2 linked regions of the Caenorhabditis elegans genome follow. The protein of the gene in region 1 purifies or fractionates together with the protein of each later gene. This does not show direct contact. Each region holds a gene or a part of one and is shown in the gene's direction. Other genes may lie near its edges. The genes, in order: ceh-99 and nep-24.

Evidence for each region.
Region 2: the proteins of ceh-99 (region 1) and nep-24 fractionate together in Caenorhabditis elegans (co-fractionation; one large-scale study listed by BioGRID). This does not show direct contact.

Annotation. Positions count from the first base shown.
Region 1 is NC_003280.10:12,518,095-12,522,018, forward strand, and holds the start of ceh-99 (Homeobox domain-containing protein), read left to right. Parts: upstream 1-1,886; 5' UTR 1,887-2,117; coding exon 2,118-2,279; intron 2,280-3,924.
Region 2 is NC_003282.8:16,922,151-16,926,074, forward strand, and holds the start of nep-24 (NEPrilysin metallopeptidase family), read left to right. Parts: upstream 1-2,241; coding exon 2,242-2,391; intron 2,392-2,435; coding exon 2,436-2,565; intron 2,566-2,612; coding exon 2,613-2,698; intron 2,699-2,742; coding exon 2,743-2,988; intron 2,989-3,039; coding exon 3,040-3,324; intron 3,325-3,690; coding exon 3,691-3,810; intron 3,811-3,853; coding exon 3,854-3,924. Other genes in the region: nep-23 (NEPrilysin metallopeptidase family), read left to right, coding at 622-876, 920-1,082, 1,127-1,374, 1,426-1,584, 1,748-1,921.

The DNA of each region.
Region 1 (3,924 bases):
CTTCAAACCTGTACTTATTCCTATAAACTGTGAGCACAAAATATCACAAGGTGCTTTCCAACTTGTTATCACTAGTTTTATGAGTGATAGTACATTTCTGTAAAAGGCTTTTCGAAAGAAAGAGAATCAATTGCCTGTCAATTTGAAATTTAAAACATTGACATTCAAGTTTGCCGGTTTCTCGGTTTTTTTCTTCAAAATGAAAGTGTTTGAGAAAATGGTCAAAGCTGCCAACTGAGGAAAAAAAACGAGCAAGAAATATTGGAATATTGGGAAGTAAACGGAATTTAAGGAAATTGAGCAAACGGGCAAATCGGGTGAATTGGATGAAATGGCAAGTTTGGGAAAGTTGGACAAACATAAGAATTGAGAAAACTGATATATAGTGCAAATCGGGCAAGTCCGGCAAAATGGACAAAGTGGGCAAACTGAAGAGCAAGCATGTAAACTAAATAAGGTAAATGGGCAAATTAAACAAGCCAGGAAAAACAGGCTCACAGGTGAGCTGGAAAATTGATTTAACAGTGAACGCTGTAAAACTAGACGATTCGGAAAATTTGAACTCTGTAAAAAATTGCAATACTGCCGAAAAAATCTATGAAATGCAACGATTATTAAATTAAATTAAACAAAATGTCCCAAAGTTTCGGGAAAAAAGACATAAACGGCGGCAAAGGGGCCAATTTTACAGCTTTGGGAAATTGATGACAAAACTAGCTAGGACAATGATTTTTATGTGCACAATGAGCCCAATCTACATTTTCTCCCGATACCCTCAGATTTTCAATGTTTCCAGAAACTTCTTATATTCGTTCATCTAGCCCAAAATCCTTATCACTGCTACAAAAACTATTCCATTCAAAAAACGGCTGTCAGTGCTAGGCACATGCCCCTTTCTTTCTCGTACACGTCAATCAGTGCCACGTAGTCTCGACGCAGAAATCTGTCAAAATCGACCTATAAAACTGGGAGCGATGGCGCTGAGATGCTGATACTGATAAGCGAAGGGGTTTCTTTGTGGCGTTTGGTAGGAACACACAAAGAGCCCCGGAGGACAAAGAGCTCTTATCAGTGGATGCTCCGCGCCGCTCCCATTGTTCGTTTCGCTTTCAGTTCACTTATTCTGAAATTAATTTTTTTGCTGCCTATCTATATTCTGGTAAGTTTTTTTTTGCATCTGCCAAACCGCCCGTTTGGATGGTTGTGCTCTGAGGAAATACGCACAGAATGTCATTTCATCAGGCCATAGCTGTCCAAATTGGTATAGAGTTTGGAATGTTGAATCAGTTATTGGAGTTAGACAAAGGTAGAGTTTTTCATCATTTTAAAATGATATGCATACCTGACGTTCAAAAAATTGTTTGAAGCTTTTAAATTTAGCGGAAAAGTGTACACAAGAAGTTGATCCAAAAGGTCATTCCAGTCCGATTTTTGTGGACTTTTCTAGAAAATTGTGTAAAAAATACGCACAGTAATATTTTATGAAACAGTAACTAACGATAGTTAGCGTTACATGGGTTTTTGACATTGTCAAAAACTTTCGTCCAATTTCTGACAATCCTCACCACTCTTTTCACGTTGGAATTTTGATTCAAATATCTAACCTTTTACTCAAAAAAAATTGTTTTTGAATATATTAATTTTGACCTCCTAGATCACCTTTTATATATACCTCATCTTTTTTGAATTTGACCTCTTCCCGCCGTGTACACCTGGATGCAATGATGGCCGTCCGGCAATATGAAAAAGAGTGTGAAAATTGAGGAGAGTGGCAGACAAATACAACGCCAGTTTACACCGACAATATTACCGGTACAGAGAGTGTAGATAGTTAGAGAGTGACAGACATCCAGGATCCAATGGGGCGGGGCGCGCGGAAGAGACGATTTGTGTCGATTTACGAAATTTTCCTCGTTGTCATCATTTCGTAAATCGAGACAAATCGTCGTCTCTTCCGCGCGCCCCGCCCCATTGGGTCCCGGATGTCTGTCACTCTCTAACTATCAACACTCTCTGTACCGGTAATATCGACGCAGCATTTTTTTTTATTTTGTGGTATATTATTCCAAATTGTCAAAGGTAAATTATACGCCTTTATTTTTTTGTCAAATACTAGAATGGCACCTTCTTACTCGAGGAATACAAAAAATTCAAAGAAGACGGCACCGATATCTGCTGAGGAAAAACACAAGATTCTTGAAGAAGAATTTGCAAAAAGTCCGTATCGAGGACAAAGGAATTTGGAGTTGTGTGCAATGTTCAATATGACTAGGAGAAGGGTGAGTTTTTTTCCTAGAAATTTGAGAAACTTTTGTCTTATTTTTCATTGATTTTCTAATAGTAATTTTTCTAATAGTAATGTCTAAAATTAGGCCACAAATAGAACTTCTTATCTTTTTAACCGAATTTTTTGAAACGTTCTAATAATAATTTCTCTAAGAGTCGCTCAACTTCGGGCAACTTTTGTTAAACTTCTGATTTTTGAAATTTTTTAAAGTTGACAAAACCACGCGGTGTCAAGCTGTCCCATCACGGTTTGATCTACAAAAAATGCGGGAATTTTTTGCCCAATAAAATGTAACGTCAGCACGTTCTTAACCATGCAAAATCAGTTGAGAACTCTGCGTCTCTTCTCCCGAATTTTTTGTAGATCTACAGTGCTGGCCAAAAAGATATCCACTTTTGGTTTTTTGTGTGTAACTTTTTTCTCAAGCATCCATTTGACTTGAATTTTTCCGTGTGCATAAAGCGAAATGTTACGCAAATTTGCGGACCAAACATTACATGATTATCGATTTTTTCTGAATTTTATTTCAATTTTTTGATTTTTTCGTTTTTCCAATTTTCATTATTTTTTTTGAATTATCAATAAAACGCACTCTGTTTGTTGCACTGGATTTGTTTGGTTGATAAATTATTTTTAAGGTATGGTAAAATCTGTTGGGTGTAAAAATCTTTCCTTGGACGTCAAGAAAGCCATTGTAGCTGGCTTCGAACAAGGAATACCCACGAAAATGCTCGCGCTGCAAATTCAACGTTCTCCGTCGACTATTTGGAAAGTAATCAAGAAGTACCAAACTGAGGTGAGTTCGAAAAATATTATTTTTTAATAATAAATGTTTAGAAATCCGTCGCTTTGAGAATCTCGCCCGGCAGGCCTCGAGTGACAACCCATAGGATGGATCGCAACATCCTCCGATCAGCAAGAGAAGATCCGCATAGGACCGCCACGGATATTCAAATGATTATAAGTTCTCCAAATGAACCTGTACCAAGTAAACGAACTGTTCGTCGACGTTTACAGCAAGCAGGACTACACGGACGAAAGCCAGTCAAGAAACCGTTCATCAGTAAGAAAAATCGCATGGCTCGAGTTGCGTGGGCAAAAGCGCATCTTCGTTGGGGACGTCAGGAATGGGCTAAACACATCTGGTCTGACGAAAGCAAGTTCAATTTGTTCGGGAGTGATGGAAATTCCTGGGTACGTCGTCCTGTTGGCTCTAGGTACTCTCCAAAGTATCAATGCCCAACCGTTAAGCATGGAGGTGGGAGCGTCATGGTGTGGGGGTGCTTCACCAGCACTTCCATGGGCCCACTAAGGAGAATCCAAAGCATTATGGATCGTTTTCAATACGAAAACATCTTGGAAACTACAATGCGACCCTGGGCACTTCAAAATGTGGGCCGTGGCTTCGTGTTTCAGCAGGATAACGATCCTAAGCATACTTCTCTTCATGTGCGTTCCTGGTTTCAACGTCGTCGTGTGCATTTGCTCGATTGGCCAAGTCAGTCTCCGGACTTGAATCCAATAGAGCATTTGTGGGAAGAGTTGGAAAGACGTCTTGGAGGTATTCGGGCTTCAAATGCAGATGCCAAATTCAACCAGTTGGAAAACGCTTGGAAAGCTATCCCCATGTCAGTTAT
Region 2 (3,924 bases), on another chromosome or scaffold:
CGGCTGCTGCACAATCTCAAAAGGACTGCACAGCCGCCGACACCTCACGGGTTCCGCGCCTACGAGGTAGACACAGAGGGGTGCGGTACCCGTGAGATGTCGGCGGATGATACTGGTTGGGGTTGCGATTTTAGCATTTTCTCCGTGAATTTCCGGGAAAAAAAGGGCTCAGTCTTATGGATTTGTACGTACGTAAATGCCACGATGTACGAAACTCCTTTTTTTTCGAAGTCATCGCATACCTTCCCCCTAATGTCGCCAGGAGTTGTCTCATGTTTCATGAATTTAGAAGCGCCCGACGTCTGCCGGGATCCGCTACAGCACAGCTAGTATTGCAGCCCGGTAGGCGTCGGCTGCTGCACAACCTCAAACGACTCGAACGAAAGACAACACGTACATTTGAAATTAGAAAAACTGCAAAACAAATCCCAAAAATTAGGTCACACCGTTTTTGGGTCGTTTTCTGGGTTGGCAACTAAATCGGGACCCCAAGCAAATAACAGCCACCGACACCTCACGGGTTCAGCGCCTACCTACATCGTGATAATCTTAGTGGGATGCGGTACCCGTGAGATGTCGGCGGATAATATTGGCTGTACAAAAAATCCTATATTTTTTTAGAAAGTCATCACATACCTTCCTCGTGCATCTCTCCGAGTCTTCATTCGCAATTACGTCGACAAAGAGAACCGAGACCTGATCACCCAGCTGGCCGAAAAAACTCGAATCGCTCTTCACACTTTGGTTCAGAACTCCACGTGGCTAAAGGCAGAATCCAAACAACTTGCTCTAGACAAAATTAATGCGATGGGAAAGATGATTGGGTATCCGGACTTTTTCGAGCCACCGGGCACTTTGGATGGCATGTTTAAAAATGTAAGTAGTGAAAACTTATGCCTAATTTACTTAATTTTTTTAGCTAAATCTCGACTCATCTGACACGTACTACACAGCTCTCAACAAGCTCGAAAGGTATTTTGTTGAACAAAAAATGGATTATTTCGCAGAAGAGACACCTCTGGATCCAGATTTACGCGTTTTTGAAATGAATGCCTACTACTATATTCCCGGAAATCAGCTGAGTAAGTACTATTGGCTTTTAACCTAATTTTCAAAGAATTTCCAGACTTCCTTGCTCCATTCTTTGATGATCCAATGTTTGACTCGACCTACCCCGATTATGTGAACATTGCCATGTCTGGGAACATAATTGGTCATGAAATGGGTCACGCATTTGGTCCACACGCAATTTTGAGAACTGTCAGAGGACGGGAAGTGTGGATGAAACCGGAAGAACTTGCAGAATACGAGAGCAGGGCGCAGTGCCTGGCAAATCAGTACAGTGAATATGATGATCCAGATTTTGGACGAGTTGTAAGTGAAACTAGGTGATCTTGAAAAATGATTTTTCAACGAGAAATTCAGTTTGACGGCGGCAAAGTGATCGATGAGCTTGTGGCGGATAATATCGGACGGGAGGTTTCTTGGAAAATGTTTAAAAGTCTTGACTTGACAAATGCGACAAGGATTATTGGATTTGAAGACTATGACATTGACCAACTGTATTTCCGTGTTGGAGCCCTGGTGAGTCCATGTCGACCAATCAGCACGCGCCCTCATCGCTGATTGGTCGACACTTTGGTACAGTGTTGTCTAGCCATTCAACAGCCGACATAAAGCGGGACCATTAGATGTCGGGTGCTTTGAAACTAATATTAGCAGTTTTTTCTGAAAGTATCTATTTCAGACACACTGCACCCCTCATGCGATGCGTGATTTGAAAGGGTCTATCGAAAGTTCTCATCCTCGGAAAGCATTCCGTGTGAATGGAGTCTATGCGAATCTTCCAGAGTTTGCCAGAGCATTCAACTGCCCGACGGGATCTCCAATGAATCCGAGAAAGAAGTGTGATATGTTCTGAACTTGTGTTTTAGGTTTTTACTAGAAATGAACTTGATTCCTCCCTGATTTCTTGTTTTAATTTATAGTAACATTCTCATCATTTTGTTCAGAAAAGAGATACCATTTAATGAATCAGCTCAGATTTCTGATCAAATACGAATGTTGATCGGTGACAACAGGTGGTTTGTCTTTTGTTTGACATGTTTGAATTGAATCATTGATACGTTACTGTTCACCAAAACATTTATTTTTTGACAAACTTTTTTTCTGTTTCATGTATTCTATTTCAGTTTGTGTCGTTTTTATATTCTTACTGCTTGTAACATATAATTTCAGATAATGAGTCTACAAAAAGCCAAGGAAAAGCTGCCAGGATTTATGCTTCTTCTTCTTCTCACCTGTACTGCTCCACTCGCCATCGGAGCAACAACTCCTGCTACCCGAAATGTCTGTAATACTCCAGCATGCATCACTCTTGCTCACATGTTGGTAAGTTCCTAGCACTCTGGTTTCCAACTATATCAAACTTCCAGCACAACTACCACGACCCATCAGTTGATCCGTGTGACAACTTCCACCAATTCGCTTGCGGGAGAGAGCATGAGCACGAAACGGAAGATATTTACACGAAAAAAACAAAAACCATCAATAATATAATGAAAAGTGAGCTTTAGCTTTTATTCTTTTCTGTAATTTAGTTCCTGTTTCAGGATTTCTAAAAAAGAACGAGACGTCAAGATCGAAGTCGGAGAATGCTATGAGAACCTTGTATAAAGCGTGTAAAACCTTGGAGAAAGTAAGTTTTTTTTCAAAATTTTAAAAGCAAAATTTAATTTTCAGAATTCCACAGCCAGTCGTAACAAAGCTCTTCAGGACATTTTCCAAGATATTCAGAGCATTGGGGCTTGGCCAGTGGTGGATGATAAGTGGGATGAGTCGAAATTCGATCTGAATGATTTCCTTGTTAATCTAGTGAGGTTGGGAAGAAAAAATTTTGGACTATTTCAAATGGCACGGTATGTAAACGTTCGAAATTTTGCTATAGGCCCAGAAGCAGCTTGGCGTCACAACGTAGATCTCGGAAAGGTTTCGGATACAATTTTATACATTTTGCACCTTAAAAATTTGAATTTTCAGACAATTTCCGAGATTCTGAAAGCTAATTCTGTTCAGACGAACAATAAGAAGCTTCTAGACGATTTGGCAGAGTATGTTAATTTGGAGAAGGCGTTAAGCCAGCACAAGTTCAACACAGTTCAACCAGGATATATTTTTTCTGAGCGATCAGATTTTGTGTCAAGTGTGAATTTTTCAAGGCTCGTCTTGGAAATGATGAGCCCCGACAAAAGAACTTTATTCCCGGAAGTGTATCAGATTATGTACCTAACCAACACCTCGCTGTTTTTTGGAAAAAATAATAATGTAAGCATTATATTTTGATAGGGCTTCCATGTAGGCGCCAAAGCGCCTGCCTCTGCCTGCCGCGCCTCTTGTATTGTGCGGCGCGAAACCCAAAAAGTGTCGGCCGCTGCAAAAGAGCCACATTTAGCACTATGTGGTGTCTTTCATTTCTTGTCATTATGAGGCGAGAGGTCGGCGGGAGGCGGGCCGGCGTCAGGCCCCCGTCCTCCGCCTGCCTCGCGCGCAGAACCCGAGAGCCACTTTTCACACTTTATTGTGTCTTTCCTATCTCGCTAAAATAAGGTGAGAGGCAGGCGTCAGACCCTGAAACCGCGCCTGCCTCCAAAGCACTATATTTCGACTCTCCGGAAGATATTCTCCTTATAGCTTGAAACAATCATTCGGAACACTTCTAAAAGAGCATTGGCCAACTACTTGATCTTCAAATTCATCGATACGTCTATCGCAGACCTGACATATGGTTCCCCATCGGCATTTTGCGAACAGGTAGAGTACTATGATTTTTTTTTCTTTCGAAAAATTTATTTAGAAAGTCATCAACTTTCTCCCTCGTGCTGCTCTTCGTGCATTCTATCGCAACTTTATAAGTAAGGAGAATCG